Linked DNA regions of Lepisosteus oculatus. The protein of the gene in region 1 interacts with the protein of each later gene in a biochemical or structural test. Links are inferred from orthologs where the notes say so. Each region holds a gene or a part of one and is shown on either strand. Other genes may lie near its edges.

Region 1 (16,848 bases):
TCTGAAATTAGTTAATTCATCTGCAATCCTTAAATGTTCCTGATAGAATGGATTGCTGTTCAATAACCTATGATAGATTAAGTATAGTTAAATACACAAAAATGAATGTTGACAGCGGCTACATACATAAATAAAAACAGAGGTATATTCTGTAGAAATTTCAATTTGAATTCAATGCAGGCCCTTGGAGCATGATGAAAAGATTCAGCTGATATTGAAAAGTTCACATCAAGTATCAAGCATGCATGCATTATTAAAATAGTCCATAGTGCATTTGTTTATTCAAGCAAAGTAATCAGAACCAGATTTTCTTGGAGAAGGGTTCTTTGCATGACCTGCTGCAGAGCCTGAAGTTGTCTGTCTGTCCCAGACGACACGTGTTCTGTAAAAAAAAGTCTTGAGTGAGGCTGGTCTTCGGTCTGGCTTGCAGAAAAGGCCTGTCCCTCATCTTTATGAGAAAGAGGTACAAAAACCTCTGAGCTGTTGGCGTTTTGTGTAAAGAGTCTGTTTTCAGCTACGAAGGGAAAAAAAGCAACGTAGAGTCTAGACAGAAGAGATTGGATTCAAATCTGGAAGCCATTCACTCCAAGCTGGAGCACATGGCCTGCCTAACTGCAGTGAAGGATCACATTTCATTGACTAATTACACATGAAAAATGGTCACATCATTTTTCACTTTTTTTCTGCAGTAAAACTCTGAGGTGGGGGCGGCTGGCTTACTTAAGTAAGTGTTGTACACAGAACACAATTTTTGAGTACCTAACAGTTCTCTTCCTGTTGATTTTTAAAAAAATGCTAAATGCTATGGCCTCCTGCCATTATTTACAATAATACTCATATTTATAATACTCGTATTTAAACCCAAGCAGATTATTATAAATCATAGTTTATGTTAAAAGCAGTGCTTCTTGGACAAAAATATTTTTAAGAGCAACAGGAGATATTGTATCCAATTTACGGCAATTTGTTTACATCACCATCTGTGCTCAAAACGCTCAGATGTTGTTAAAATGTTTTAACTCCGTTAATAATCTTTTTAAGCTTTTTCTAACCGAAAAAGGAAAGTCTGAAGCAAAGATAAAAAGAAAAGAGTTGTGTGTCATGGGACTTTTTGCTATGAAAATTGGCACTTTGGAAATCAACAATATTTGAAAGGTGTGTCACAGCGGTTATGCCGTTATTACCGGCATTTTCATTTTCAAAATTGGACTGCACTCAATTAAATGTCATTTTTATGGCAGTCTGGGTTGATAAACTCAGTTGTATTTGAAACACAAACACACAGACTCCAATTGTATTTCTTCTCATTCTGTGTTCTAACCACAGCGTTTCAGAGTTTAATATGTTTTAGACGTGTTTATTAACGCAGTTAGGCACAACCACCCACACACACTAGTTTGTTTTGGCTTAGCTCTCTGTCTTGTCTAGAACAGACTACCTACTGCACTGTTCTGAAGCGTAAACATAAGAAAAATCCTTTAAAATAAAAGTTCAACATTTGTTTTAAAATAGTGCCGCATTTCATATGCATATACTTTATTAATCTATACTCTGTACCCCCTTTGTATTGTTTTGATACAATTGCTTTACGTAAACTTACTGAAACGCACACCGCATACTTCACCAGCAGAGGGACCTAAAGCCACGCGATTTAAAAACAAGGGGAAACGTTTCTCGCGGTTTCGTGACAGGCCGAGCTATCAAAATCAGCAGTCGTTAGCAACGACCGCAGAAGAACAGGCAACTTTTTTTGTGTGTGACAGCAAGGCGCAGAATTTATAACACTGGTTTTAATTAGTAACGAGACACCGAATGCCCACCTAGAGCGTGTACAAATCCAGCTTTATACTTAAATAATCCATTGTATTTATAAAGCGTTTTTGAGGAGCGCTTTGCATGACCGACTCCATCAGTGAAGAACGGGTGCCATGCGTCAGCCAATATCCTCAAGCAGCCTAACGGCACAAAACATATATCTATTCGGGATGAGAAGTGACAAATCTGAAGCAAGGGGCAATCTGAGGCCGTCAGATTGTGCCCAGAGTGTCAATTTTAATGACTAATTACTAAGTACTAGTAGTAGTAATAATAATGTTTTTATATAAAGCCTTTCTGGACACTGCACTCAAACTGCTTTACTGGTAATGGGGAATCCCACTACAACCACTAATGTGCAGCAAAGTGCGCCAATAAACTCAACCAGTTCATAGATTATTAGGAGGCCATGATTGGTAAAGGCCAGAGGGTAATTTGGTCAGGACACCGGGGTAGCACCCTTATTTTTTTTCAAGAAACTCGCTGTGATTTTTAATTACCACAGAGAGTCAGAACCTTGGGTTTATGTCCGATCCGAAAGACTGCGTCTTTTTTCCAGTACTGTGTTCCCATCACTCTACTGGGGCCTGTAGGACCCACACAGACTGCAAGGTGAGAGCTTCTTACTGGTCCCACTAACACCTCTTCCAGCAGCAACCTTCGAAGGTGTCCTATCCAGGTACTGGCCAGGGTCACGCCTGCTGAGCTTCAGTGCGCTGTCAGGTGTGAGTGGCATGAGTAGCCTTAGATTCAGGTCTCATCATAACACACAGTCCAGCTTCAGGTAGCAGGGATGCTGTCTGTGGAGTCCCTGATGTCCAAGCCCTCTCCTAGGTGCTCTGGTCCAAACTGTTTCCTCCAGTTTCATTACCTCTGTTTGCTCCTGAGTTCTCATGACTGGGGTTTTTGTCTTGAGTCTGTGTCGAGCTAACAGTGGGCTGTGTGGAGATGGCCATTGTGTATCCACACCCTGTTTTAGAGATCCCCCACTCAGTCTGAGGTCCAGTTAGACTTTAGACTCCAATCCCTCCACTCTGAATGGTGTGATAATTAATGGGTGTCTGCACAAGGACCACTTTTGATCAACGGGAAGCTCACAAGGAAAGACAAAGACAAAATGACACCGGCCATTCATTACAAACCTATGAGTCATCATAGACCCTGACACCCGTTGACCCAAACCCATTTTTTGCCATTCTGTGACAAATTTTGCATTTTCTGACGAGATTGCAATGCCAATTAAACCTTGAAAGCAATAAGTCGCTTTTTTCAGTTTGATAGTTACTAGTTTAGAGTTAAGTTGTTGTTCATTAATTTGTCTGCTTAAGTGAAGGTTTATAGCCTTTAAGTGAAAAGATGAATTTGCCAAAAAGCTGTCTGAGTATACAGTATCCATAATTTGAAACCCTGAATCACCATCCTGAATATTTCAACACTTAAAAATCACAAAGACTATTAATGTTTTTCATTAGTCGGTCGGCTTTTTCCCCCCACTTCCAGTAAACTTAATCTTTTTGGTTTTCCCAACATTCTCTTGGGACAACTTTTTTTCTGCCTTTTTGTGGAAGAGGTGAGTGTAGATTTCACAACACAAGCATAACAAATTGCTTGAAGTGCATTTTCCCTGCCAGTTCTGTTTTCGGCGTCTCAACCAGTGTTTTCATAAAGCATCTCTCTGTCGACATGAATTTCATGGGCTGCGCTGAAGAAAAACAAAACATTTCATTTCACCTGCATTTAGAAATGAAGGCGGTCAAGGACTTTCACACAGCCTCTGGTTCTCCTAAGTAAGCAATGTTGTTTATGTGTTATCGTAAAAATCATTCCTAGGGAGTTTAATGTCCTGATTTTGAGTGATGGCCAAACTGGAGTCAGCATGCTACAGTGAACCTTACCAGACGATGTCTAATTTATATAGAAATGCCGTGAAGTGTTATGCTCCACTTTCTTCAAAAGTCTTCTTCCGCTAAAGCCTTATTACCTATTCCAAACCTTCTCTTTTTTAAAAAAAAGGTGTTTTTAAAAAAGCATTGCCTGATGTTATAGATACCCTCTTTTACATGCACATAACAATATTTCTTCAATGTTATATACACATTGGTATGGTCAGACATCACTTGGTGTTCCCCATTCAGTTAAAGCCCAGGTTTATCCATGTATCCTGTCTTAATCCATTCAACCTGGATTTCCTTGGAGGTCTCTAAGCCAAGGACTGACCAGGCCCAGCCATTCTTGGTTTGTGAGATCAGCCTAAAACATAGCAAGATGAAAGTGATTTGTGAATGTTAATTTGTCTTTCAGCTATCTGATTCGTTTATTGATTTAACTCTGGGTTTATCAATCATTTTTGGTAGAAACCTCAAGGTTTTCAATATAACATCTTTCATAGTGCTAAAGAAATGTACTTGTTTTGAAACAAACATTTCATAGAAGAAAGTATATAATGATGTGTATATATAGTGTCAAGATGGTGTACTGTACATACTAATGTTAAAAGTCATATTAAAGCATGATGGCTTTTTGAGTTTTGTACAGATCAGACAAGGAAACAAATGAAATTTACCAATCATTATCAACAACATTATCATAACCAGCAAATCTGAGATTTACCAATCATTTGTGTTTTTAATTCTTAGGTTAGTGTTGTTTTATAGTGCCTCTGAACCATCTGCTGGCTTATATGGAAAAGCAATCATGCAGTCAAAACACAGGGGAACTTAAAGTATGCTAACCCACTCTATTTTTTGCAGCTGGTATTTATCTGTTTAAAATATCACCCAGGTAAATGCAAGTGGTAATGTGCAAAGTGGCACTTACAGTTTACAGACATCAATCAGATTTTCTAAAGTTTTTTTGTTTTAGAGTGCTCTGGCATGGTACTGTAGTTGAACCCTGTACAACACAACACTGATGTCATGTTATGGCTCGATTATAGTCTGGGTAATTTATTGATATCTGCTTTTAAAGAAGAAAGTTTTGCACCAGCATGAAAGGTTTCAAAGAGGTGTAGTTTTACTGTCCTTTACTGAAAAAAGGTATGAATTGTTCACTCTGTTGTTTTCTAATTTACAGCGGATCATTTCTATGTGCACAGTGCCATCTTTTTAAGAAATGCTCCATTTGCTTTATTTAGAATTTAAACTAAAGAACACAATTATCTGTGATTCATTTGAGGATATAGAGAATACAAAGACTTGATATTTTCCCAACATAATTCATGCATTGCAATTAAAAATCCTTGGCGCTAAGCTGTTTATAAAGGCCTTCATAGCACTCAGATCAGTGTGGATGTTGAATTGACATGCTTTTATCTTTAAATACAGATTTTTCAAGTGCTGTTTCACAAATAATGTGCTGACTACTTCTGAGGAGCGTTACTGATGCTGTTGTCAAATGGTTTAGTTTTTTGCAAAGCTAATATGCAGAGTGTAGTTAGTTTTTTGGTATCAGATTAGAGACTGTACTACTAGTCCAGTCAGATCTGGATACTTAATGTAATGCTTAAAGGTTGTTTTTTTTCAATTAGGCCATTAAATCTGTCTTGGTAATTCAGTTACTAAATCTGCAGTGAAGAGCCCACTGGAATAGGTTGTATTCTATAGTAGTGTGAAAGTGTGGACAACTCCACCTAAAATCCTGTTATCTATACGAAGGGCAATCAAAAACTGAGATCTGAAATCTTGTACACACCCTTCAAAGAGCAAGTGCTGAAAAAGTACTAGTTCAATATGTTTCATTCACAGTGGGTCATGCAGATTATGAAATGTGAAAGAAACAGAAATAGTCACGGACTGGCCAAAGCATGTTCAGAATATTGCTGTGATTGTGTGCTCCGAGGTGTCTATTTTTAACACTCCAGCTGCTTTCATGTATTATTTACTGTATTGTCCTTCTGAAACTATTGCACTGTCTTGTCACCGTCTAGCTAACAGAGACACAGCAGCTAAAGACATTGTACTGATTGATGTATTCATCTGAAGCCCCTGACTGCATGATCCTGTACACCAAGGCCTCACAACAAAGGCACAGGGAAAGCCAGATGTAGGGGTTGCTAGGCGATGGCTTATTTAGTGGTAAACAAAATCCATCTGCAGGTTCACACAGCTTTCCTTGCGTTCACCAGGACTAAAGCCGGGAATCTTAGGCACATTTATTTGTCACACAGTTTGTAGTAGCTATGGATGTGACTACATCAGATGATCAGTTATTCTTGAATTATTAATCCAGAGCGCAGAAAACTGTGGTTCATGGCATTAGGTTTTATAAGAGTGAAATGCCTTTTTGGCAGCTGTTACTACCATTTTAATAAACATCCTGGTAATACACTTATAAAATCATTATTTTTATGGTTATGACAGTGGTTGGATCCCAAGGGAACCTGAATATGAAAGGAGCTATTCAGTTATAGGCTGGATTACTTGAATTGAATTGAATTGAAAGAATGACCAAAAAAATGTTAATGAAATATTCAAATAGTGATCAATAAACCAATATTAACATTTTTTCACTGGATAACTTTGAGTCTTCAGCAAGTCAAAGCACAGCTGAAATTAACACGGGAAAACAAATAATAAAAAAATACATTTTTACTTTAATGTTTAATGAGAGCATTTGACACATTTGCAATTAAGATTTTGCTCAATAGGAAGTACCAAAAACTTATACTGAAGAACAGCTCTTTAACTGAAAAGAAATGGGTGTTGATGCTGTGCACCTCACTGCTGTATGATGAAAACCAGTGCACACCTCACCAATATGGGTAACCTTTTTGTACTAGAAAACCAATTGATTCTAAAAGGCTGAAGCAACAAAGCAGGATAAGCAACGCTGGTACTTGAATGCTGAGATCCTGTAGGTTTTAGGGGCATTCTTCAATCAGCACCTGGAAAACACTGATTGTACTTATTATCCACTTAACTGGCTCCATTACGTTGCTAATGGAGGAGACAGAATCAAACCCAGAAACAAGTGCAATAAAAGGTCATGCTGGAGTAAGTTGTGCCCTAATGTCATACTGTCACCAGTTTGAACGGGAACTCTAATGACAGGCACTGCCGAGCTTAAAACCTATAGATCACGTGCATGAATGGACATCTTGCACTTGTGTGAATGGGCTGGTTAGGAGAAGAAAAAGAGTGTAGATTTCCCCCATTGATTTCCCCCACTCTTACCACAACAATCATCTAGTCACACTAAAATAATAGTTTCTCAAGACCACTGGATGTCAGCCTGGACTAAATTACGTTTTTTTTAAAAGCGATGAGTTAAACAGAGGTCAGCCTGTGTGGAAAAAGCTGAAACAGCTCAAAATCAATCAATAAAACTATTTAGATTCTTTTGTTATTTCCATTGTTTTACTTTAGTAATGAGCTCTGTTACAGTGGGAGATACTGTAGCTCTAATGTGCCAGCATGCCGTTAGTCAATGAAGCAGCACAATCTGTAAGAGCAGGCTTCAGCAACACGGGTGGGCACCTTGTGCCACACTCCCACAGCCCTGCTGTGATTTTCACAGTAATTCCCGTTTAGATGTTATCAATGTCATTAAGCCTTCTGACAAGAATGCCGTGTTGTACCGCAGCACTTATTGATGCGCAAGAACTGTTGACTGACTGGTCATGATGTGCTTCTCTGTGAGACAAGCCTAAGAATGGGTGATGTGTTTTGAAAAGTATATTCTTGGCATGTGCAGTACTATAGCAATTGCTGCGTTTTATGTAGCAGAGATGAAATCTTTTGTATCAGGTTTTATACTGTACAGCTTCCATCGGTACAGAGTTACTTCATGGCTAGGAAGGGTTTTACGGTGTTTTCTTTGACCAAGACTTGTGATACAAAATCCCCAGCAAATGAAGTGTCTAGGATAAATGCAATTACCACCTTCAGTGGTGTGCCAAAATCAGACTGCAATTTCTTTCAAGAACAACTTAAATTGTCTATAATTACATATATAATTACAGTTTAGCACTGACTGGAAAGGCTTGTAAAATCTCAGATGTGGCATTCCCATTTTGCTATTTTTCACAATCAGAATCCCGTTAGTACACCTTGTCAATAAAAATGATTCACATTCTATCAGATATTTTAATGCTCGTGGTCTTATCTCATACCAAGGCTTGCAAACCGAACACAAGTGATCATGTTGTGCACACAGTGCACAATTTATGAAATTCAAGGGCAAACAAATTGATTTCAAGCAACTTTTTAGCGAATCCATCGGGAACAGGGTTTTGAAGGTTACTGATACATTTCCAATTGATCTCTTCTAGAATATAATGAACAGGCTTTTGAAACGAACAAGCTGCCCCGTGCATTCAGGGACATTTTATGTATGCAATAACACAAGCAATGTGCCCTCCCCACTTGCGACATAGAACTCAAACACACCCGAAGAAGGCTCCACAGCCGAAACGTGGTGTTTCTTTCCTTCTCTTTTCAGCAGGGAATAAACTTTTACGTGTTCCTTTGAATTCTAACATAGACGTGTACTGTATGTGTTTGTACCATACATAACGTATATCGTCAGCAGTGCCTGCGCACTTTCTATCATATATTTACAGACATGGCGCTCATTCGCAGCTGTAACATGTGCGGTGCATTAAGAAACTAGAGCAGGCATTTGCCTCGGTGCGAGTGTTACAAAGTACGGCAGAGGTTTGAGTCCATATTGCAAAGTAAAAAGATGGAAAAGCACGTGTAGGCTGTGGAGTCCTTTTCACGCGTTTGTGGAAACGTTGTATTTTTTTTCTCTTTATTTCTTTTTACTTTTCAGCGTGGAATTAACCTCTACGTATACAGTACGTACAGGAAGAAGCCACACTAAAGAAAACGTGCGGAGTTTCAGTACCAAATATCGCTTCCAGCTACGGTTGTAGTATAATCATAAGCTATTTCATGCCTGGTGTGTTACAATTCTCGGCGGCACAGCTGTAGTACTAGTACTGTACTAGTCTGGGTAGATGAAACACCTACTCTGAGTGAATGGCAGATCAGTGTTTACTGTTTGCTCCTCCCCGGAGCGACTGGTCTCCAGTCTATGAAAGGAGCAAAGTGATCTGCACTTCCTCATTAATTAGAGCCGCACGGAGCCGGATCATTCACATCCACCGAAGACAGCAGGTTAAAACTGCAGCCGCCTTTTCAAGCATCTACTACAGATCGAAGATCAACGTCAATCGGTTGTCTGTTTTGAGGAATTTAGTCCACCAGGACGTCGCTGGAATACGATCGACCTATTGTGGATATACATATTTCCAGCTTTTCAGAAGAATAGATTTATTATTATCTCTCTCTCACTGTAGAACGTCTTCAACAGGTAAGCAGTGTGCGGTGTTGCTTGTGCATAGCTCCTAATTTGGGCTAAGAAAATCACCTGAGTAAAGGTGAATTTAATGATCGAATTTAAATTGACACGTAATTATCGAATACGATACGCGTTATACAAGGAAAGAGATATTTGAAGCTTGTGAACAATTACAGATTATTTTTTTGTCTTTCTCTTGAAGCAATCTAACATAGTTATTTACATTTGGGTGCGGTATTATATTATATTAGTTATTAACCTGTATTGTTGTAAGAATGAGAATTTCTGAAAGTCGTTCTGTGATTTTTCATTTGTTATTTGAACAACACAATTTTCCTTAACCGATTAAAAGCCACCGGCGTTTTAGGTTGGATCTTCGGTTTTTTTTTTGTTGCATTATCACGTAAACTTTTTGACTTGCCGCAAAAAAAAAATCACTTGTGCTTGAATTATTTCGACAATGCAGTAGTGTACGTCCGGCTTATTTTTTCCGATATCAGTTAAATCAAATACGATGCTCTCCTGCCTGTACATTTCGGTGATCGAGGTTTAAGTCACTAACAAAAAATGTTACGTTTTTATCATTTCCATCTTACGTGCGTTTCCTGTTGTGCGTTTGAACGATTTTCTAATGGATCAAACTTGCGGTGCAACACTGAATTGGATTTAATAAATGAACGAGGTAATTGTCAGTAATACACGTTAGGCTCGCTGTTCAGTTGTACCCAGGGTGCCACCTACTCTGTGACGAGCGAGCGTGAGTCATTTCTGGTATCTGTTAAACTTGTGACCAATGAGGAAATCATGCGCTTTTCTGTGTAAGAATTGTATAGATTAGGTAATAACAGAAACGCCACATTATATATATGGGAAACATCATTAAAGATTCCTACTGTGAAGTAAAACATACATGAGTAATCGTCCGAGAACTGCTGTCTGGGTTCTTTGCTCTTAATTCTGGTTTAAATTATCTTTCCTTAATTGCATTGTTTCTAAACACAAGAACCACAGACAGGACTCCCAGATTTCCTCTGCAGCTCCACTCGTGGCTTTGATGTGGGAACTGAATCAGTTTGTTTGGTCGGTGTCACATGCAAAGCGGAATTTGAAAGCGTGAAAAAAGAAAGTAACGTGACTCAACCGTTTCTCGTAAAAAAAAGAGCAAACTATACCATTCTTATTAAAGTGTAGACATTAATAAAGCATTGGTTGAAATAAAGTGTTATATAGCGCCTCATATCTTTGTCTACTTGTTGAAATAAACTTTATCATTACTCGTCTGTTTAAGTTGTATGCTCTCTGGATGAGCTTAAATGTTAAATACAGTACATCTTAAATATTATCTGCAAGGTCGTGTATCCCTGTCTTATTCGCTTAGCGCCCCGGGATAATTGTTTAATATGTAAAATTAGTTTATTATTATTATTATTATTATTATTATTATTATTATTATTATTATTATTATTATTATTATTATCATTGCTCTTGTCGAATATATGGCGGTTCTTGAAGTGCCCGGTACTTCAAAATACATAGACCGTCTAGGAGTCAAATGCAATGACTGCACGGTGATGAAGGGGTCCTGTTTTGTAATTGCTTGGTCGCTGAACACTATCCTATTTGTTTTTTGTCTCTGTCACTGTGTCACTGTAACGTCTTTAAACAAACCTTCACTTATTGCTATTTGGGAAGGTTTGTTGCTCATCCTGGTGTTTCACTTATGAATGAATAATTTATAATAAAGCGCTGCACAAGTCTAACGCGTTTTCTCTTGCTTTAGATCGCGATGTGTGAGGTCGGTATGGATCAGGTGGCTCCTTTGTCTTGCGGCTACCGCGGCATTCTTAAGGTAGGAAGACGGAGAGAATAATTCACTCTTTCATAAGTGTGTTCTTCACTCATCACAATTTGAGAATCAATACTTCATGATTACTCCACTTTCAATATATCAAGGTTTATTTAAATGCCACTGCACAATGACATTAATTGCTTTGATCTCGTAAATGATGGTTGCTTTTCATGTCTTTTTGTGTCAAACGTATGAGTATCGCCTTTGACTTGTGAACTGAAATTGTTACCTTCAGTAGCAGTTGTGTGAGTTTAGAAATACAGTACCTGAACCGCTTTGAAAACGGTTTTGTGTTACAAAAGGTGCACTGCGTGGAGGAAAGAGAAAAGAGGCGGTTATAAAATCCATTACTTCCACTGAAAAATGCTGCGTCCAACTATGTACTGTAGTAATAAACGGGGTAATCTGTAGAGGAGTTTTTGTATTTAAGGTATCTAATGTATACAACTCCGAAGCTCTTCTGAAAACCTCAGTTAGTCCTCAGACAACAAAGAGACACACAAATCCAGAGACCTTGAAGTGTTTGTTGTTCAGAAAAACCTTTCACTTGCCAGTAAAGGGAGGCTGTGCTGGTCTGAACTCCTTTCAAGTCGGGGTGATGAAATGGTTCAGTGCAAACACCCAAAGTCTTTCAACCGGAAAATTGGTTTTAAACATCAGAATTATTTCTAGAAAGTGCCGGTCATGTTCAAAGAATATCTTCCTACATCTTTGTATACTCTACAAAATTGGGTCTGATGTGTACAAGCGAGTTTATAGGGTATACTTGAGGGTGTATCAATTACAGGTGATTTGTTAACTAATGTAATTCGCAGTTCATTTTGGAACAAAACCTTTAGGCCCTTGAGATCAAAGTTTCTTTAAATGTGTAGATTACTTGCATAATTGATTCATGGTGAGCTATAAAATTGAGTGGATTAGGATGACCTGTAAGAGTCTCTCTCCAGAAGCAGGGTTAGACCCCAGTCTAAGACACTGGTAAACACTTCAGGTTCTGTTGTGCTACTGTCTTGTATTCAAGTTAATTCCACCTTGAACTCGTAACTGTTTTATTTGAATAAATCATTCACTAGCTTTCTCTTTATTTACTCTTTTTTTATAACAATGCACTGCTTGTGCACTAGTGATGTGACCCAAGTGCTAGATTGGAAGAAGATGTGAAAACAGACACAATCAGAGTGTGACTAGACCCTATGAGTAATCTCACACCATACTCCTCGTACCCAGACTCCAGCCCAGCCCAGGAGCTGTCAGCCCAAAGAGAGACTGTCGAAACTCTGTAGTATGCTCTAATGCAAATACAGGCCTGCTGGCCTTTTTATCAGTTTGTTGACAAAATGAAAAACCAAAACAAATTAAAGAACATTGTCTTCACTCTGAGCGAGGCCAGAAATAACACAGACCAGGTATTGCTAACTGGTGTGTGCCAAGAAGCTTTTTTTCAGTACAGTAAGTCCTAAACATTTGTCATCCTATTGATATTAATATTTACAATGCAATTTTAATCTACAGTAATCTACAGTGGGTGTATTAAGGGTTCCTAAGGGATACACCAGGTTCCACTGCAGCTGCTGTGGAATTTTAATGTTTCAGCCATGTGCTGTAAAGATTAGCTGCATAAGGACACTAAAATTCTCATCTGAACACCTTCTAGATTAGCCATAGCATGGGCTGTTATACTCCGGTAAAGGTCAGGCTGAGCACATTTATTTTCTTAAATTGTTTCTGAGATGCGCTGTTTCCAGAAGCCTAAATTGCCCATTAAATGCAGAAGCTGGAGTAAACACGAGGAACGGAGACAGCAAGGTGTCTGATCACGGCACATTCGTTTTATTGAACTATATTTTTCTGTCACTCGCGTGGCTAAAATTCGGCAAACAAGATCAAAGTGAGGGCGTTTTTCACATTGATATTTATTTGTGTGTTTGGAACGATACCACACACACACAAATTTTTTTTTTCCAGTAAAATATATAAAAAATACAAAGATATCACCCTCAAGCGATTGCCTTTAATGATTTAATGTCGCAGATGGTGCGCACAAGCTGTCTTCACAGAGTATTACGCGCATGTGTGGAAATACAGTTAACTCCTAGTTTAAAGCTTGAGGCTTCTGGTTGTATTACTTGTTATCAGAAACAAAACAGTGAAATATCCAAAGACGTCAGTGGCAGGCCTGTGTTTGAACTGAAAAGGTCAGTATTGGCCCAGCAAGCCAAGCTTTTGTGTGTTTATCAGTAAGGTGTGGGAGTATTAATGATGGCTAATGTGGCTAAGCACTCTCATTAAGAAACTGGGGGTGAAAGCAGGTGTTAGAGGTGAGATTTTGCCCAAGTACTGTTCTTGGCAGCAGACAGCAGGTTGGGCCAATCGGTGTTTGCTGACAGAAGGCTGTCAGAGAGAAAGTAAGCTGGGAAGGATAAAAGATGATAAAATCAGTCAACCTCTGTTGTAAACTTTATGACTGGTTTAACAAAAAAGAAAAGAGGCACTTCAGATTTGTCTTAAGTCAGGGCATGACCTGCTTTTATATGTCTAGATAAGGCAGCAATCTACCCACCATGATCTAAGGGGAGGCAGGAATTGGTTGCAGTTTTGGGTTGAAACAGCGCACTCCCACGCAGCAAATCATATACAGTTAGGATCTGCAGCCGGCAGCCACAAGATGAATTATCACCTCTCTCAGATAATAAAGTTAAGGCCCCCCCCCCCCCCCTTCAGGCTGCAGTTCATCTCAGAGAGTGGAATGTTTTCAGTGGCAGAGGACAAGGTAGAGAAAAGGTGTGGACTCTGTACAGTGCTGTCTGCTAAGGCCTATTGACTGTCCTTCAGCTGCACTGCCCCGTTGAATGGGTTTCAATTCCACTCTTGAAAATATCAGTTTGTTTCTCTTCATAGCTTGCTTAGTGGAATTTCAAACTCGCGATTGTAAAAGTTGTAGACTCTCTGATTTCTGACCATTCAGTTTCGTGTTTTGAGATATAAACACTTTTTGTGCCAGTACAGAGTTATTTGCTCTGGCAGCTGGATGAGTATGGTGAGCCACATTTTAAATGTCTTCTTACCGATATCCTTTCATTGACTTTCAATGTACCAGATAATTGACCATAAGACTATAAAAATAAACCTACTCTATAGATAGAACCTGTTTTTTTGTTTTAATTTTTAAATGAAAGCAACCAAAACTAATTTTAGAGCAGGCAAGGAACAGTTATTAGCACCTTTTAGCTAAAAACAACAATGCAGAGGTTGTCATTTAAGAGCTCTTTTTATCTCCTATTTTTCCTCAGCGTCAGACTGCATTTGATGTCCTAGAAGACCCCATGTCCTTATTTGCGGGATGCTATCTTGCTTCAGATGATGAACAGTCAGTCCAGGAGGTGCCTTCAGGCCTTGACTCCATTTCACTTGGTAAGATACATCACAGACCTCCGGAAGACTTGATCCTGTCCTCCAAGATAATAGAATGATACTTTTGGCCTGACCTCAGCAATGAAAAACTGAAAATTCAAGAGGAAATTGTGCATAAATCTTCACTTCTTGGGATAGTTATAGAGTAAATTTAGGAGTTAATGCAAAAAAGGTGAATGAATGTCCTTCTCGGAAGTTACTTTTGGATCTAGATTGAGAGAGGTTGAGCTGATGGAGAAAAAAAATAAACCAAGACCTTGGATATTCAGAAAACAAGGATCACTTGCACTGTTTTGTTGATGACCAAGTTAAAAATTGTTTTTTCAAAACGTTGTTCCCAAGCAAGGTGGAACCAGTCTGAAATTGCAAAAGTCTAATGTGTTAGCCTCATTTAGCACAAAGGCCCCTTGTAGGCAAATGTTGTCATTAAACTCCAGTGTAATGTACAGTATGTGTCAGTATTAGCGTCTTAGTGTTCAATGAGAATTATGAAACATAGTTACAACATCAGAGACCAGAATGATGTAAATGATGTTACTTAATAAAAAGGGGAAGTTTTTTGAAAGAGTCGTCAGGGATAGTTGTTAACAATCACACGCACACCATCACCACGGTTTGACAACCTCAGCAACTGTGCAGCGAAGATCAAAGCCAGAACTGGCCCACAGGAATCTCCCTGTGCAACTGTGGCTTTTCCATTCTTTCAAGCCATCAGCATCCAGCTGCTTCTCTTGCCCTCTAAACATCTGGTCAGAAGTGCACAGCTCGGATCTCTTTGAGTGCAGTACTCTCAGCAGCTTCCCCACTGGAATCTGGAACTTGGTTTTGTTATATTCCTCACGCAGAGAACATGTTCAGAGACGAAAAGGATCCCTAAAACATCAGAGATTCTATGCTAGTAATTAAACTCATAAGCCAAGCCAGTTGTGCAGAGATAAATCTGTGCTACACGTCAGTCTGTCATTAACTAGCATAGTGAAAGGCCCATGTGGCCGGCAAGATCCATCTTCTCCTGCACTGAAGAAAGTAAACACCAGGAAGCCCTTTTCACTGGCCTTCAGTAATCAATATGCCTGTTTCTTTTGCGTCTCCTAGATCTGGGCTCGTGCACTGTCCCTCTGCTGACGCCCTGCAGCAAAGCGGTCATGAGCCAGGCTTTGAAGGCCAGTTTCAGTGGGTTTGCCAAGGAGCAGCTGCGCTGTGGTATCCCCAACGGTGAGTCTCCATCAAGATGTCTTCTCATCTTCTCACAGCGGACACCCCCAAAGCCTTGGCTTTGAATCGTATATAAAACTGCCCTCTGCCATTGCCCTTCATGGCTGTCGTTCAGAAAGATTGCCCCTTACTCCTGTAGCCTCAGTCCTTATTATTGCCTTGCTAAAGGTGCATAGGGAATATTAGGTTGTTTGTCAGCATTAAGTGTTTTCTGAGGCTATTTATTGGTTTATTAGGCTATTGTACTGTGCAGTATATAAAGTAACTGTGTCACAAGATCCCTGAAGACATTCAAATCAACACTGAGCCTTTTATGGACCTACTGGAAGGCAGGTGTTTGGCACAGCTATCTGAGGAGTAATCGGGCTGTGGCGGGGTGCTGATTAGTCTCTCTCCATGGCAGACCCACGTGTGTGGAGCAAGAAGCAAGTTATTCAGTGGCTTCGATGGTCAGCGAGCGAGTTCAGTCTGGCCGGCGTCAATTTCTCCAGCTTCAACATGACCGGGCAGGAGCTCTGTGATCTGGGCAAGGAGCGTTTCTTGGAGCTAGCTCCCGACTTTGTTGGGGACATCCTCTGGGAGCACCTGGAGCAGATGATGAAAGGTAAAGGGGGAATTAGGTTTCCATGCATTTGCTGCAAATACTGTATTCAATACTATCACTAAGAGAACAGTGGAGGTTCACCTTAAAGCCCTAGAGGTGGGCTTCCTCCTTTTGGAATGCAGGAATCTCAACACGTGATCGGATAATTGCGAAGATGAATCAGATTCCTTCAGATACTGTAGGTATTACACTTTCAGCTGAAGATCATTGGCTTAATCACATCATGTGCCTCTGTCTTTCTTTCACACAGATGTTCAGGACAAACAGTCTCAGTGCAACAACACTAGTGTCCCTCCTACCACAATGTCCAGGTGGATTAACAACAATTCCATAGGTAAGTCCTTGGATATTTCAGGTGCTGTACTGCTTTGTTTTAGATATGTTAAGGTTACGGCGGTGCCCTCAGCAATGGCTGTGTATAGAGTTGGGTTCCTCTGTATTTCTGTGTTCTTCTATCATTGCACCTGAGAATTTCTATTTCCACTGTACCTTGATATTCATGGTATCCAGGTAACACTGAATCAGAAGAACATCATATTTATTTAGTACACTATTCACTGTTTCTGAATTGGCTAAGGAAGGTGAAGTATTCCCTGACGTGTGTGAAAATGACTCAAATCAATTGCAAAACTAGGCATCGCGCTGGCATGTT
Region 2 (17,490 bases), on another chromosome or scaffold:
TGTGCGGTACCACAGTAAAGTCATTGAAATTACTAAATGAACAACAGCACAGAACAATTGTCATGTTTCAATCAATAAAGCACAATATTAATATTTTGAAAAGCATTCAGATCCTGCAGACTAGCAGTTTCTCTTTTCTTTTCAAAGTATGCTTTCGATGTGACAGCCTTTAATGCGTGCTTCTAAGTTTTACCAAATGATTTGTTTGGAATTCAATTCTTGTTATTTGAATAGCATTCTATTATTATATATTAAATGACATTCTCTGTCATGAAATTTCCACTGAACACAAGGTATCTAAGGGTTGTAAAGATAAAATATACAGGCAATGCATGCTCTGTCAATTCTAATAAACCAGAACTATTCTCAAGATTTCTACTTTTCTTTTTTCTTAAAAAGGAAAAGCAGAACACTAAATGTAATTGTACAGTCACTGTTACTGCTGTTATTTGGATATTTAAAATGAAAATATGCTATGCATTTAGCAAATGTATATATAGAAATAAAGAATTTCAAACTGATGCTGTAGGGCATTTCCAAAGAAGGAAAATTGTACCACAAATATTGTTTAATAATACCAGATGTGAAATGGAACTAAATGGAAAGTAATTGGCAGAAGATGCATAAAAGAAAGCTCTATGCAACACTGATATTTTCTCATATACAGCCTGAAAACATGTATAAGTATCAGTTAAAAACAAGTCAGCTATATAAAACCTTCAGAACCTTCCACCAGAACACAAAATGTCTTTGAAAAACACATGTATGATAGCCTAATCTAAAAATGTGGGACATATTGTAGCACACAGTGAGTGTAGCACACAAAACATATTTCTCTATAGACTGGAATTTCAAATTCCAGTGTACACTTTGCTAGCAGTGCATTTCCGCCCATTGGAAGAACGACCACAGCATGTACTGTACAGTATCTTGTGAATGGAAGCTGCCATATCTGAAACAAGCAGAATTCAAAGTACAGCAAATTCACAGATCTCCTAACAGCTGTATTTCAAATGCCTTGGGGGATCAGAGCTAAACACAGACTCAATGTGCTGCATGGTCCAGCTCTCCAGCAGAAAACATGTTTATAAAAAGGGGGGTGTGATAAACTGTTGCACAGTGAAGCAGTTAAGATTCTGCACTCTCTTTGCACGAGCATGGTTTTAATAAAGCCACCTGTGACATGTCGCCTGGGTTTTCAGACATCTGCGCGTTTACAGGATGCTGTCCTGATATACAAGAGCTAACAACACATCCTCACATCTAGGGATTGCCTGGAAAGAGCCATTAAACAACTGACAAATTGTGACACAGCATGGGTAAAGGTTACAGAGGGGACGTACCAGAGGGGCTAACCTTGCTCACTGATCTAGCACACAAAGCTGTTTCCTCACAGGTAAAGCAGGAATAAAAGAGCGTATTTCCTAGAGGTCCATGAGAATAGAGGACTGCCAACTGACCTGTGATCCAGAGTTTAATTGGATACATCTGGTTGTCACTGAGAAACTACCTTTGAGTATACAAGTGCATGGCAAACAAAGATCCTGGTCTCTGTTAGAGACCGGTGGTCACCACACTCTAGTGGTTGTTGAAAGAATGCTTTGAAAATGAACATTATGAAAATGTTTAAGTAGTTTAGAAACTTTTGTTTTGTATAGATAAGAAAAGGCAAAGAATATTTAAAGGGAAACTACAAGGTTTTTACTTAATGCTGGTTCTTTGGCTGGCAAGTGACTTATCTACCCAACTCTTCAGATGGGGTTCAGAATTAAAAGTGTAGTCAGGCCTCCAAAAAAGAAACTATTAGGCCTCTATTTTGAGCGTCGTAAGTATTTTCATTTACACTCTGAGCACTTCTTTGAAGTACCACTTCTCTCTAAAATCACCTCTTGTGTCTGCTCCTTTATGTCTTACACTAAAAAGCAAACCCAAATGATTTCAAATTGCTGTTTTTGATAAGTGAAATTGGTAATTTGGCGAGTTAAGGAAGAAAAACCCAAAACCCTACAGTCTTCACGAATCAGAAGTCGACATTCCTTGCTGAACAAAGTACATATTGGATTGCAAAAATATATATATATATTCCATGATATTAAACATGGATAACTATAGGGTGCCTATAAAAAGTGTTGCATAGTTAGATTTAAATTTTCCAGGATTTACAGGGCTTACTCATCCCTGCTCAAGCAGTTACTATGAAAGCACCAATGCCACAATACCCAATTTGTACACCAAAACTTGTAAATTTCACTTATCAGGGTTTATTTTAAAAACTACAACTTTTCTTAAGTTCTTTAATCTGAGCCTGATCATTAAGAAGCCTTCAACACTACAAGAGCAAGTGTGGTAAACTTTAGTTTTGCTACAGATATGTTTGATATGTATCATTCAACCTGAGGAGACAAATGAAAACAGTGCAGGAAGTGGTCTTTCAGGATTCAGTTAAGACCAAAAAGAAGACACCCTAATGTAGTGAATGTAGTGAGAAAAAAGGAAAGATTTCTGCAGCAAATGGGAGTCAAATATTGACCATTTCCAGTGTAGTTTTCTGGTATAATCAGCAGAATTATGGTAATTAACCACCTTTTAATCAAAGACATGACAAGACGGATGTTCCCCTGCAGTACTACAGCTTTGCAAGTATTTGACTATCAACCCATGCAGCATCAGCAGCTAGTTCAAAGTCTTTCAGTCTGCAGTTACACATTACACCACTTTTGATAGCTAAATCTCTAGTCACAGGTTCAGAAACGTCCCAGGTAAGTAAGCTAAATTAGAAACTGATTATGCAGTGGAAGGAATTCCCAGAGTGTCCTTAAAGCCTCCTCCTTGCAACGCTGAACTACAGCACTGTGCACATGTTTAAGACAAATACTCTAAGCTACTGACGTTTTTCTGAAAAAATGGAAACTGCAGTTGATGAAGAACTTTGTTCCCATTGGTAATGCGTTGCCACACAGATCTCCTTTTTTAAGTTGTAAAAATAGCACATTTGTTTAGATCCATAAAAAAGCTGGCTCCCTCTTTGTCTAAATCATATGATTGTCCATAAAACCCTGCTTTTCCCATGCAGTGTGCTCCCATTTCCCACTTCCCCTCTCAGCTCTACTGTTAAATTATAGTAATGTTTGGTAAATACAGCAGGTCTAGAAAAGTGATTCTCAACCCGGAATCTGGAATATAGCAGCGTTTCTATGTTGGTTTCTTTAAATTGTCAACAGATGAATGAATGCTGTGGAAAAGAGCCAAATAGATCCGGTTAAACCTTGACTGTATCAATTTAACACCTCTCCCAGGTACAGAGCTGGCTACACATTAAGCTGACCTAATAAACTGGCTACATTCCAGACCCTGAGGACTGGTGTAAAGATACTCTGGTTTAGAATGTCCTATGGGAAGAAATCAGGAATACAGACTCACTGTAAACATTTGGGGAGGAAAGAAATTGCAAATGATTTCTATTCCTTTCATAAGGGACTTTTAGGATACTTGTCCACACTCCACAGTCTAATATAGAAATTGATCCGTCACTGTTGATTGTCTCCAGTGCAACAGCAACAAGTAAAGTGTTTCCTGCACAAAGATCTGTTGTGTATTTACTGCCCTTTTTTTAGGCCTACTGTCTTGATCATACTGCCCACAATCTAAACTGCAATCTATAAGTGCTGCCATTTTGCAAGAGCATGACAGCAATTGGAGTTCTTTGCTTCACCAATGAGAAAGTTAGATCTTTAAAAATAGATTTTTCCCCCCTCTTTTCCTTCCAGGGTGGTTTAGCAAAATGTTTTCAATGTTTGCACCACAAGCTTACTATGCAAACTTCATTTAAACATTTTAAAGACAGCAGATGCTTTTAAAGAAGACAACCTTACTTTGGAGTGAAGTGAAAATGATAAAACTATGTGGCTGGTTAATCTGATGACACAGTGCAAGCCAGAAACTACATTATAATGTCTTTTTCTGCTTCTAATACCCTGCCAATATTTCTCACCCTCTATCTGACAGCAGCGGTACATTTTGCAAACATTTTAGATTTACTGTCAAAGTGACTATCACAAATTGGAAGCTGTGAGCTTAGCAGAAAAGATCTGTTGAAATTCTGAGCATTTCAGAAAACACATTAAGCACCCTACAGTACTTAAGGAATCATCCTCCATTTGTGTGACAAGCAGCACACAGCTAAAAGCATTGGATTATAGTGCATGAAGTTACTACACTGAACAGTCCAAGAGAAGACAGCTGAATGTTGATGAAATGCGTATTTACAGTATATTATTGAGCAATATAATATTCACATCCAGTCATTTTATACAGTCTTAATTCCTTATATTTCAGTGTAGATATAAATGATAATGTTCTGCCATTAGCTTGGAAGAAAATAATCATGCCATTTTGATCTATTCCAAGTTTTAAAAGTTGTTTTACCTTTATTTGTACCTGTACAAATATTTAAAAAAATACAGGGAAGTTTGTGAGAAATGAATACTATAAATGTATTCAATACCATCCCACAACACTAATCTTCATGGAACTGTACAGTTCATTGCTTGAGGATCTAGAAATTAATTTGTGAAACAAGATCCTGGACATGAAAAACAATTCTGTGTGTCAAAATTTACTTTTCAACCAACTGAAAAAACAAAAACATTCTGAAGAAAAGCAAGTTAGTTCAGCAGCCTACAATGCAATTAAAATTTAACATGAGGACATAGAAATGATTTGATAAGGTTTTCACACAGAAACCCACAACTGTGTGCATAATCTACAGCAATCATTATTGGCCAAAGTTCACAACCTTCTTGTGAAAAACACAAACAAGTAAAAAAATACACTTCCTGGGGATGACCAATCTCTAAAAACTTTTGTGGCTATGAAAACTGTTTTTTTCTAATTTAAGGCTATGAAAAGCATTTTTTTTCAACAAGTAAAAATAATATGCCATACAAGAACCCTTGACTTCTCACTGCATCTACAGGGGTATGACAGGCTACCTTTATTAGTGTGGGGAATATCTGAAGGAATCTATACATTATGGGATAATTTACCACAAAAACTACAAACTAGGTACATAAACATCTTAGCTTTACTATTAACTTAATCTAGAGTTAAAATGTTCACAGTGTACATGAGTACCATTTATAGTGTACACATGAGTGTTCATGAGTACCATTTATACTCTCCAATAGTACTATATCATTTTAAGCATTTTTTGCACAATTCACTGCTACTAAAATCCGCATGTGTGTTCTACAAATTGCCTTGTTCAAGCATGCCATCTCTTACCCATGTAATATTCACCGTCTTTACTCCAAAAGGGTTAAACATTTGAAACAGACAATATACACTCATTCCTTATACAAATGAGACTTTGCACACAGTATCCATGAAATCTGTATCTAAATGAAGGGACTTACTGGCTCCAACGAAATTGTATGAGTGATTTTAATATTCTAATCACGTCAAGAGTATTATAAAAGGAAAATGATTATACTGCTATTTGCCAGTTGATCCATTTTAGATTTTAACAGTGATAAGCACTTTCAGATACTACAGATGAAGAAGAAAAGTACTTCTGCTGTGCATAATTTTTAACTTCACTCTTTACTCCATGTATAATGAAATTAAGTTCACAAGCCTCAAATGTACAGGACCTACTGTATACTTCTTTGAAAGCCTCTTACTTGTTTCCCTAAATAGGCTGAAAATAATGAACTTCTTACACTGCAACTGCCTAGGTGCTTCTAACAATCCAGTATGAACCCTGCAACCTAAGACTTGTTAGCTGTGAATGGGCAAGTGGGATCAGGTTGATGAAGTACATTCATCTCCCTGTGGAGGGAAAACAGATAGGCCTAAGTTTCCCACTGTTCAGGAGTCTGACCCACTTCAGGTTTCATGACACTCTCATAAAAGGCTATCCCAGAGATTTCATGCGTAATACTTTTTAACTGGTAGAGGAAAAGTGTAAGAGACGGATTTTAATAAATATTAAAATCTATTACTTTTTTGCCTCTTCAGTTCAGTTCTAGTAAGAGCTTTTAGATAAGGATTTGCAAAAGGTGAAACGAGTATAACTACAACATGACAGGAGTGTTACTTGTTTCCTTGAGAGGCTGGGAATCTGGACACAGAGCAGTGGATAGCAGAAAATGTGACTTTCCTTCAGCGGATCTCTGTGCTTTTGCTATAGACCAGATCCTTCAGTAAAGAGTGTGACAGCATGACTCGTTTTGTCCCTGCTATCCTAAGTCTGTGATACTGAATAGACCCTCTCAACCACCACTATATTCCTCCAACTTACATTCTTCCTTGGAATTGGGTGATTTAATACGCAGTGAATAATAAAGTTTCCAATAAAACAATCCAATAAATCAAACTATCAAACATAAAATCTTCAAAAATGTTAGTTATGAGCTGCAAATTGACCAGGTAAGTCTTTTAACATGGCAGCAATGTTTTTTTAAGTGCTAATTTAACCACATCAGGGTATTTGCAGTGCTATGGTTATTCCAGAATTAGACCTATGGTTGTGATGACTGTACTGCTGTACTGCTTACCTCTTGAGAGAAAATTCTACAAATGGTTGGAAATGATTGCTAGTAACATCTGTTATTAGACTACATAACTGTCACAGTTTCTCTCCAATTCACACATGACAATTTACAGCTGGTGATATTATTAGGAGTTTCAAAGAAATGCAACATGTTTTAAATTCGAATAACAGGTAATTTGAAGATTTCTGCACCTGAGTTTTTTGTGATTCAAATAATAAAATACCGTTACACATTACACTGGTTATCACCTTTCTCTGGCTCTTGGCAATATTGACAATATTGCTTGGGATCCTATAAACCAGGTCGCAACCAATAAGCAAAATGTTACTTGAGAATCAATGCCTACAATTTACAAATATAATTCCAAATTTAATATAGTTCTTTCAATATAAAGAACATAAGGTAGCTCTACACTGTAAATAACCTTACTTTAATTTATAACTGCATTTGCAATTAACCATATTCTTACTGTAACCCCGTTGAGCTGCTCTGAATAAACGAAGCCACTTAATAAAAAAATTATTATTGTTCCGTCATCGCTCATATCTTCCAAAGGAAAAAAATATTCTAACATGTAAATTTGAATAGTGAATATTTTTAGCTGGAATCCACATTCATCAAATACTTTCAGACGAATTTCCATATATTCGGAGCAAATCAAACCATGGATCACAAACGTCCAAGGAGGCTTCAAAAATACTTATTTTCTATAAAAATAAGTGCAGAATTCGAACATCTTTTAGAAACCTATTACAACCATCCCCCAGTAACAAAAATATCAATCGTCTAGCTCGCGTGATATGGCAGTAAACGTGGATATCCCAGTTACAACTTCTGGTTTCACCTTTCGGCAAAAATAAATTAATTAAATAACCGCCATATTCCTCAGTATTTTAAACCAATGGTCTTTCATTTAAATATCCTAATGGGGAGAAAAGTAACTGCCCATTTGTTACTGCAGCACCTTTCGGCACAGGGAGTGTTACAAATTGTCGCATGTATAATACAAAACAGAGGAGATAACATTAAATCAATGAATTACTAGACTTCTTCGGCTTTTATGCTACCATGCCATTAAAGCGGGTAATTCATCGCAGACGCCTAGCCCTTTGTGATTCTATGATATGTAAAGAATAATGTCCATTTGCAGCAGTAACCATCTGATTGATTTCCATCGCTCTTAATTATATTATTTTCTAAGACATGATGGTCGTCCAGTTAACAACGCCAGGGGCTGTGCTGCCCTTCTACTTGAGAGCTCATCTGATTCCCGGATTAAGTGTTTAGGAATGTCCGTGGATTTTACTCTACACCCAGGCCACTTCACCATTTGTTGCAATACCACAATTTCGACTACCCTCCATTAGAAATGCTTAAAGACGCACGAACTGCGCTCTTAAATCAAAGATTGCAGTCTATGCACAAACGCAAAACTACAACAATAACGACTGGGTGGGTTAAGTTAAGGAGTTCTGTTCTAACTAATAATAACAAAATCTTCAATTAATATAAAACCCTGCACAACGCAAATAGGCGCTTAATATTATTTTATGCGATTCCGGTGAGTTGCACATTTTGCAATTAACCATCTAGCATGGGTAGTTTGTTTTTTAAAAAGCCTCATTCGTAGATATTTTCAACACTAGTTCAGAGGCGCCATGTTAATAATCCTCCATCACATAAAAAGAAACATCTCCTAATGTTTTATTTTTCAACTCGTAAATTTTAAAGCATTAAATTAAACCTACCTTCTTTAGGATGTTCTTAAAAATAATGCGCGCCTCTGTAGAAACCCGTGCAGGATGCGATAGGAATGTTACATTTGTATTTCCGGAATAGTTTTCTTATGTCTGAATTTATGTTTTATGTCTATCCACAGTTCAGGCTTCGGAGAGGTAAACACATAAACGCAAGCAGGGCTGATTTAAGAGTAGGAGAACTCTAGTGGCTGAATAAAGAATTGCGGCTTTAGTTGTCTGTTGTATTTTTTTTTTCAGGAACATGAACTGTTACTTTTATTACAAATTGCATCTGTAATAAATTACTTTTTTAAGGACACTGAGACAAAAATCTCTACAGCAGTTTATGCGTTTAAATGTTTCGCAAACACAATAATTATATCTGGGTTCAATCCACAATGTAACGTTGAAAATGTCACCATATTGTTACTACTTTATAACCACTAGAACTACTCTCTAACACTCTACCGACCTGACTGATGACCAAGGGAATTTTGCATGAGAAAGTACCTAATTTTATCAGTTACTGTAACAATAACCATATCTTTACTGTATAAACAGTTCTAGTAATTCTGGTGTCTTGAAGCCTGATCTTGTCATATCTAGTAATATATAAAAGCAAGACTGGGCCTGTTTAGCATATGGATGGATATACAGTACGTGTAATGAAAATGAAAATTGCTACTAAAGTGATCTTGGTGGACCAGCACTCTTCCATTCATCCATTTTCTAATCGCTTTATCCAATACAGTTATGGGGGAGCTGGAATCTGTTTCAGCAAGCAAAGGGCATGAGGCAGGGCACAACATGGATGGCACTCCAGTCAATTGCAGGGCAGACACAGACACAAGCCTGCACACACTCACCCCAGGCCCCGTTTTCTCAAGACTCAATTAACCGCCCAGCTTGTCTGCAGACTGTGGGAAGAGATCGGAGCATCTGGAGGAAACCCATGTGAACGCAGGGAGAACATACAAACTCCATACAGATAGCACCCCACTTCTAGAATTGAACCCAGGGCCCCAGCGCTGAAAGATGACTAACTGTGCCTTTCCCTGGAAAGGAAATTCTGAAAGTTAGTAGAAGCAGGTCTTTGACTGTTGATAGCGGCCATCTTATTCCATGAAGCAATTAACATTGGTCTATGTTAAGAGTGGGTGAGTTGTCGAGAGAAGACTCTGTAGTTTGATTGTAAAATCTGTGAATAAAGCTTTTTGTGCATGTTAAAGTCAGCAAAAAATATTTCAAATAACAAGTACAATAAACAGTACTATACTATAAATAATTGCATAAATTATGTAATTAAAGGTAATTTTAAAAATGGATATTAAAACTATTCATTTATGTTATGTGGCAATCTTGGGTTTTTAAATTCCTCATTTTTTTAAACTCCTATCTCAGGATATATTACAAGATTTGCATCTCATAACAATGCTCAACTAGCAGACACAAGATAAAAATGTCCTTACAGCTCCATGTCCTTTACTGTGCCCGATACTTATAAAGGACACATCTTGCACAAGAGGAAAAAGGTCTTTTGATTTACTGTGTGTGTCTGCACAGATAATCTGATTTCACTAGGGTAAGAAATGAATTGAATGCAGGAGCTTGTCCAGAATTTATTTGAGCTCACCCATCTATAACCAGATTGAATCACTGTTAGGTTTAATATTTAGAGGTGCCAGCTGAGTTTTAAAAGTCATGGAATCATACATCCAACATCCTTATACAGTGTGAGAGCTATGGGTTTTTGTCCAGGGTTTGAGCCTGTGTTATTTGACAAAGTCAAGATCAGTGTGTTGTGTTCACTAAATACCTGAACAGCTAAGTGTATAATGATTTTATTGTATTTTTATTCTGACATGTTCTTTTTATGTATTGTAAACAATTATGATTTGCTTTCAAACAAACTACACTATATAAAATAATTTTCATTAAATTAAATTAAATTCCCTCACACACGCACAAAACAAACAGATCCAAGGAAATCTGTGATATATACTGTATGCAGCCTACAGTGTAATATATATATTATTCTTCAGAATAATAATGGGTAACATAGATCTGATCATATTTAAAAGAAGTGTTGGTCACAGCTCTATCAGATATGTTGTATGGTACTGATTTGCCACAAGTATTGCAATTAACAAATGTTCTGTTTTGTGATGATGTCATGAAAACTCAGATTTTACAAGAGGTGAAGTATTGAGCAGTATTTTTTGACTCATTTACAAATGTAGTACGCAGGCTTTGAATAGTCTGAGCCATATACTCTAGGTTGACTAGCAAACATGTAACCATTCAAAGATTAATTTTAAAATCTCCATTATGAACATTTGACTGTGTTCTGCATTATTTCTGAGTGATTTTAATCAAGCGTCATTGCTTTTATCACTATAAATTACTCTAAATGAGCACCATTCATTGGAAAGCCTAAATCCTTGAGTTTTTAAAACCGATAGTTCCTTCACATATAGTACTAGCAGATTTTGCACTCAAATCTCCTACCTTTATAATCCAAACAATTGAACAATCAAGTCACCTTGATGTCATACCAACTGACGACCAAGCAACAATGTCTTACCATTATTTGCCTAAAAAAAACTATCCAGGAAATGATATCGCTACACTCAGATGCAGCAATTGCTAACCCAAATGCTGACATTTCAGCATTTGTAAACAGCTCTGTTCTCTGTGCTATATATATAAAAAAATAATTCCAAAAAAATAAACCCAGTTTTCCCTTTCAATTGTTTCTTGAGAGAAGTCTGGAAACTGACTTCAACAGCATTGCTTGGTAGCTTGTTTTGTACTCACACAACACTTGAAGTGCCTCTTGTTCTCAGTTCTCAATGCAATTCCACATAGTTTCCATTTGTGCACTGTGGTTCATGTTTAACTGTTCATTCTAACCTTGTGACTGATTTTGACAATTTTGAATACCTGTGTCAGGTCCCCTCATAACCTTTGCAGGTATGGGTGAGGCTTTCCTAAACAGTATACTAATAAATCTCCCCTTTTCCAAATCTTGTGCTAAGAAAAGACATTTGAATCTGTTAATGTATCAAAAGGTATTGGAGAAAAAGTTTCTTTAAGTGGCAAGAGCCTCTGATCTTATGAATAACAAATTCAAAAATAAAATTGACCTAACTAACTGTATGGAAGGAAATCTTTTTTTTTTTAATTTTACAATCTTGAGGGCCAATCTAATCACCTGATTAAAACATCCCATTAGCACATGTGGTAGGGAATGAAGAAAAACGTAACCAAATCAATTTACTAAGAATGGAAGAGTAGAATACAGTAGGTTTGTGGTAGTTGCAGTTGAACAATGGAGATTCAGAAATACTGTTCATACTTAGATATTATGAAATGAAAACATTATTTTTTTCTCACATTTCTTCTTCACAGATTCATATTAAAATTCAACAATTACCACAGCAATACTTTGAATTGCCCTATTTGTGAAGGTATCATTCACTATTGGCTGATTAAGAAGAGTCCTTTTTTATGTGTTTTTTGAAATGGTCAACTGAAATGGTAGCTATTTATACCAGCACATGGATGTAGACTGAAGCTGATATTGACTTTTTCTTATTGAGTAAGATAGACTGAATGGCCTTTTTACATCTGTGGTCTTTGTCATGCTCTTTCTTAATCAGGTAATTAGATGTGTTACGACCCCAAGTGTCTAGGGGAAAAGGGGTGTGACATTTAGGATAATTCTTTTGGAAGCAGGTGGGTTTTGGTGAGGGACTAGGAAGCGTGATAAGGGTAAGGAACTAGAGTGGTGCCAAAGGAAAGAAAATAAACAAAAATGGAGCTGGCTAGGACAGTGAGGGAAAGCTAATCTGACTACAAAAGAAAACCCGAAACACACGGTCTTCGGCGTCTTCAACACCCTAGCTAACCTGCACTGACTACCCAAAACCATACAAGACAAACGGCACTCACCCGTACTAAACTAGTGTACTAATACAAAATCAACTAAGTGTGTAAGTGTACCCAACAACCTAAACTAACCTTATATACAGAAGTTCACAGAAAAACACAAGTGAACCAGGAAGACAAATAAGGGAAAACAAGAGTAATAAATAGGAGCAGGGTACAAAAAGAACACAAAAGTTGAACATGTAACACTGGGGCAAGGTAATGACAAAACAAGGATGAACACACAAACAAACAAAAGTACAAAGAAACTAACGTAAATCCAACAAAACAACAAAGCCGAAGCTATACAGAAATACACAAACACAAAGCAAAACAAACCAACAAACGAAGCCGAAGCAATAACCAGGAGCGAAGCAAAGCAATAACCAAAACCAAACAGGACCAAAGTCAAACAAAAGGCCTCTCCTTACTGAAAACCTCCAGGTTATATACTGAATAAGATGTGTTCTGATTGGCTGAGAGTTAATTGATGATGATGTCATACTGAAAGTGTGGTGTAATGGTGGGCCAATGGGGAAGGGAGAACAATCAAGGGTCAGCAGTGTGGAACATAGAAAAAAACACACACAGAACACACACTGGGACATAACAAGATGCATCAAGAAATCAGTGTGCAGTTTGAATCATTTTAAAAAAAGAATCTGATTCTCAGAAACTACAGTATATTTTTTGCAGTCTGTTTAGACTTGAGTTGACCTACCATTTGCATATACAACTTCCATTTGCAGATGAACAACCTGTAAAAATTGTGGCAGATCAAGCAATATAAGCTTTCCAGCAAAAGAAATCACCTGACAGAAATCCTTGACACTGTACCGTTGTTGTTTCTCAACTGTATATGAGCACTTTAATTCACATTTCATTTAAAAATTAAATGTCACTGATGTTCTCTGAGAACATCATGGCTATACAAGGATAAAAGTTCATACATTCATTATTAGGAATGTCACATTGCCCTGATGCCTCATGCCTGATGCCTAGATGTCCAATGGGATTCACTTCTGGATTTCATTAAAGAATGGTGCCTTGGAACAGATCACAGTGCATGAGTTGGAATAATAACTGAGCGCAAAAATACTAGCGCATAAAAGCAGACTCCAATTATGCTTTTTAACAAGCACTCAGTGTAAAAAGGAACAAGTAAAGGTTTATTCCACGCTGAAAAGAAAAGAAACACAACATTTCATCTGTGGAGCCTTCTTCAGGTGTGTCCACATGTTCTTCAAAAGGCTCCACAGCCGGAACGTGTTTCTTTTCTTCTTTTTTCACTATGGTACAGTATAAACCTTTACTTGTTCCTTTGCAGCCTACGCATGCTGACGCAGCCACAATATCTACAGTACTTGAACTCAGTGTAAGAATACAATATTCAGAGTTACCCATAACAAGGCATGTACAAACACACACAGAAGGCATGCATAGAGAGCAGATAATAAAGCCAGGCTGGCAAACAGCTATAGCTGTGTTGCATAAATGTACAGTCAGTTGTTGTGCCATAGTCAGCCTTCCCATAATCCCTCAGTCACAGCTCCAGTGTGCTTAGCAACTGGACAGTCTCTATCTTCTGGTTCACGGGAGTCGACAGATGTCTCTACAATATGTGTACCAGTATATAGCAGGAAACTAAGATATCAATGATCTTAGCATCATCAATAAAAATTGTAATAACACCCCAAAAATGTCAGAATGATTTACATGTAATAAGGGACCCACTTTAACCACCAGCTTCCATTCTGAGCCAGTAGCTCCCTATCAGATCAGGTGACAAGTTTCGGCACTTTGCCAGTAAATTAAAGCTGAAATTTAGGGAATTTAGGTTGAGTTAAGTCAAAGTGGAATTTAGCTAGGCCACTGAAATTTGTGTTTACAATTTCATCCCTTTATTGTGTATGTAAAATTACTGTACCATGCCTGGCAAAGCTATTCAGACCCTTCCTTTGGTGTTCCATTTTGTGAAACTTTATTCACATTTTATTGAACTTCATTTTATTCAAAACCTGAATGCATAAACTGAAGAGTCACTAAAGATAAGATAAGTTACAATAAACATAAGTATTCAGACCCTTGAGCTCAACATTTGTTATTCCTTGTTATAGACAGCTATTACTGGCAAGTCTTTTTGGATAAATTACTAACAACTTTACACACTAACCTGATGCAATTTTCAATTTTTCTTTGCAGATTTGCTCAAGCTCTCTCACGTTGCCAATTGCTTGTTGACAGTAGTTTTCAAGTCTTCCCTGGGCTTTGACTAGGCCACTCGAGGACTTTCAATTTCTTACTCTTATGCCACTCCAGTGTTGGTTTGGCCTTATGCTTTGGATCATTGTCCAGCTGAAAGCTGAACTTTTGCCCAGTTTAAAGTCTGGTGCAAGCTGTCTTCTATGATTTGCCAGTACTTTGTCTCTGCTGATGTGTAGCAGAACTATAACATAAGGCCGCCACCACCATGTTCGACAGCAGGGATGGAGTTGACTGAGTGAAGCACTATGATGGGTCTGCATTAGATATAACACTTAGACCAAAATGTTGCATTTAGACCAATTTTGTCTTTTGCCACAGTTTTCCAATATCACTATCAATAGTATGTGCTTTGTTGCTAACCCCATTCTGGATTTGAAATGTCGTTTTTTTCCATTCCATACAAGTCCCTTTTTTGGACGACTGTTGAACATTTTGTCTCAACCACTGATTTGACCCTTAAGTCTAAATCTAAACCAGTTTCCTCCTTGCCTGGCTGCTTGGCAGTTTGGAATGACAGCCTAAATGAGGCAGTTTCTGAGTACCTGCCACTTCAAAGATTGACTTCACTACACTCAGAGTTGTTCTTGGAAATGTTTTCATGCCCTTCTAATGATCTGTGCCTTTTGGTCTTAATAGTTGAATGTTTGCTTGAAATGTACTGATTGAGGGACCTTACAGAGACAAGTGTGTTTATGATGAAATCAAGTGAACCACTGTTATTCCACACATTTTTTTCTGTTCTTGCTAAACTATTTCCTTCACTTTTTGTGTTTCACTTTAAATGTGTGGAGTAACTTGTGTATATACCTTTAACAGATATTACATTTAAGCTTCAAAGCAAGAAATCGCCAAAACTATTCAAGGGCTGAATACTTTTGCAAGGCACGGTATATGATAAAGAATAATTATTTGTGCCTATAAATCAATTGTACAACAAATTCACTTCAAATCTATAAAAAATAAAATGTAGTTTAAAATAGTGTAACAATGCAAATTAAGCTTAAAAAAACATACAGTGTACATAAACATCAATTACAAATAATAACCTACTTTTATAAGAATTATAATAGACTGGAATAAAACAATTGAACAATAGTGACAGTACAAAGTCACAAATATAGTTTAATAAGAAATACAGTAGGAGCTAACTAGAAACTATCTAATTTCATATTAGGTTGCTAAAACTAAAGAAAAGAGAAATTATTCTTATTAACTCTTCAAGCAATAAAATATAGTATAAAAATGGCTTCCCAATAATTCAATGCACTGACCTGTGGTCACAAATGAAAAGTTAAATGAACTGGAGACTAAAAAGAACTTTTTTACTCAAAGAGTCAGGGGTATTGGCAACAGAATCCTTTGCCCAAACTCTGGGCACCTTCAAGAAACGACTGAACAAAATGTTCGTTTCACTCAACTACTAAACTACTAAAAGGTGGTCTGCCCAGCTCCCTCTTGTTTGCAGCCTTTTTTATGTTTTTATTGACTAAGCATGACTGGAACACCCTGAAGCACTATAAAGAAAGTGGAGCAACAATGATATAAAATTTGAAGACAGTAAAACCAATTCTTCAGACCACTGCCTGACAGTCATTGTACATGGACATTAGAAGGAAAATTAAACAGGGCTGATTGCAGCATCCACGTACTGTACAGTACCTGTTCAATGTAGACTGAAAGTAACAAATCTACATGGTCAAGCTGCTGCAGAAACAATGTACCTGTCAGAGACCTTCAGGTAAGCATTTGAAGTGTGACATACCCTTTCAAGCAACTTACAACTGGCAACCCACTGAAGCTCAGCAGGTGTGAGCCTGGCCACAACCTGGATGGGAGACCTCCCAGGAAGCTAACGTTGCTCAGAGGTGTTAGTGGGATCAGTAGGAGGTGCTCATCCTTTGTGTATATAACATATACAAAAGTAATGTCATGGCACAGGAGGGACCTATTGAAGTGCAGTTTGATTGCCTGCTGACTGTATTGATTTATTAGAAAATGCATCGTTTTAATGTTTTTTTATTCTACACGAGTCTGCAAAATCCTCAGAGGCTCGTCTTATACAGTATCTTTTATCAACAGCTATATCATCAACTCGAAGGTGCAAACCTTCAGATGAGATGTACAAAGGATGTCCTGACATTAAAAACACCAGGGAATTTCTCGAAAAGAGTACGGGTATTTCCCCCTGGCCTTTACCAAACATGGCCTACTAATAATCCCCATTTACAGTATGAATTGGCTTCATTGCTCTATACTCCTCCCCACTGATAGCTGATGTGTGGTGAGTGTACTGGCGCACTATGGCTGCCATCACATCATGCAGACGTGTGCTGCAAATTGACGATGGTGGAGGTAAGTTCTCATTACCTCTAAAGCACTTTGAGCGGAGTGTCCAGAAAAGCACAGTATAAATGTAAGAATATATATAAAACAAAGCAGACAGAGATGAAGTCTAAATCTGTGATTTTCAGCATTAGCGAATACTGATGCATCTGCCATAGAAAAGAAGGTTTCACATTTTTCCTGTGGAAGAGAAACAATGGTTTTGGTCTATACATGTTTAAGGTTTGCATAACAATTATTGGAAAATTTTTAAAAAAGCTTAAGGGAAAATAAATTAAATAAATAAAGGTTGAAGTAAATTCACAAACAGCATGCTGAACCATCTGGACAGGGATTAGTATACTGAGGCTTCAACATGGCATCAACCTAAAGCATGCTGCCTTATTATTAAAGAATTTCTTAGCCAAAAAGAATAAGATGGGGATTTAAAGTTAATGCTATACTCTCCAAAGATTCCAGTTTGTTGTCCAATTGAAGCATTCTGGGACAACTTAGACATGGAAAAAGAAGGCTTGGGAACAAGGATGAGACAATGTAATGTTTTCTTAGCACAGTTTGTTTCTAAAACGTTTATATTATCAACCATTAAATAATATAAAACTATTCTGAACAGGTAGTTTTAAAAACTCAAATGATAGACTAATATGTGAATACAAATA

Evidence for each region.
Region 2: the proteins of ets2 (region 1) and zmynd11 form a complex in vitro, tested with the Homo sapiens proteins (2 studies listed by BioGRID). The link is inferred for Lepisosteus oculatus from reciprocal best matches to the Homo sapiens genes ETS2 and ZMYND11.

What each region holds. Positions count from the first base shown.
Region 1 is NC_090700.1:6,568,757-6,585,604, reverse strand, and holds the start of ets2 (protein C-ets-2), read left to right. Parts: upstream 1-8,859; 5' UTR 8,860-9,129; intron 9,130-10,174; exon of another isoform or gene 10,175-10,197; intron 10,198-10,897; 5' UTR 10,898-10,903; coding exon 10,904-10,966; intron 10,967-14,256; coding exon 14,257-14,377; intron 14,378-15,472; coding exon 15,473-15,592; intron 15,593-15,995; coding exon 15,996-16,196; intron 16,197-16,446; coding exon 16,447-16,530; intron 16,531-16,848. UniProt on the Homo sapiens protein: Transcription factor activating transcription. Binds specifically the DNA GGAA/T core motif (Ets-binding site or EBS) in gene promoters and stimulates transcription.
Region 2 is NC_090701.1:13,106,706-13,124,195, reverse strand, and holds the start of zmynd11 (zinc finger MYND domain-containing protein 11), read right to left. Parts: upstream 8,478-17,490; 5' UTR 8,303-8,477; intron 1-8,302. UniProt on the Homo sapiens protein: Chromatin reader that specifically recognizes and binds histone H3.3 trimethylated at 'Lys-36' (H3.3K36me3) and regulates RNA polymerase II elongation. Does not bind other histone H3 subtypes (H3.1 or H3.2).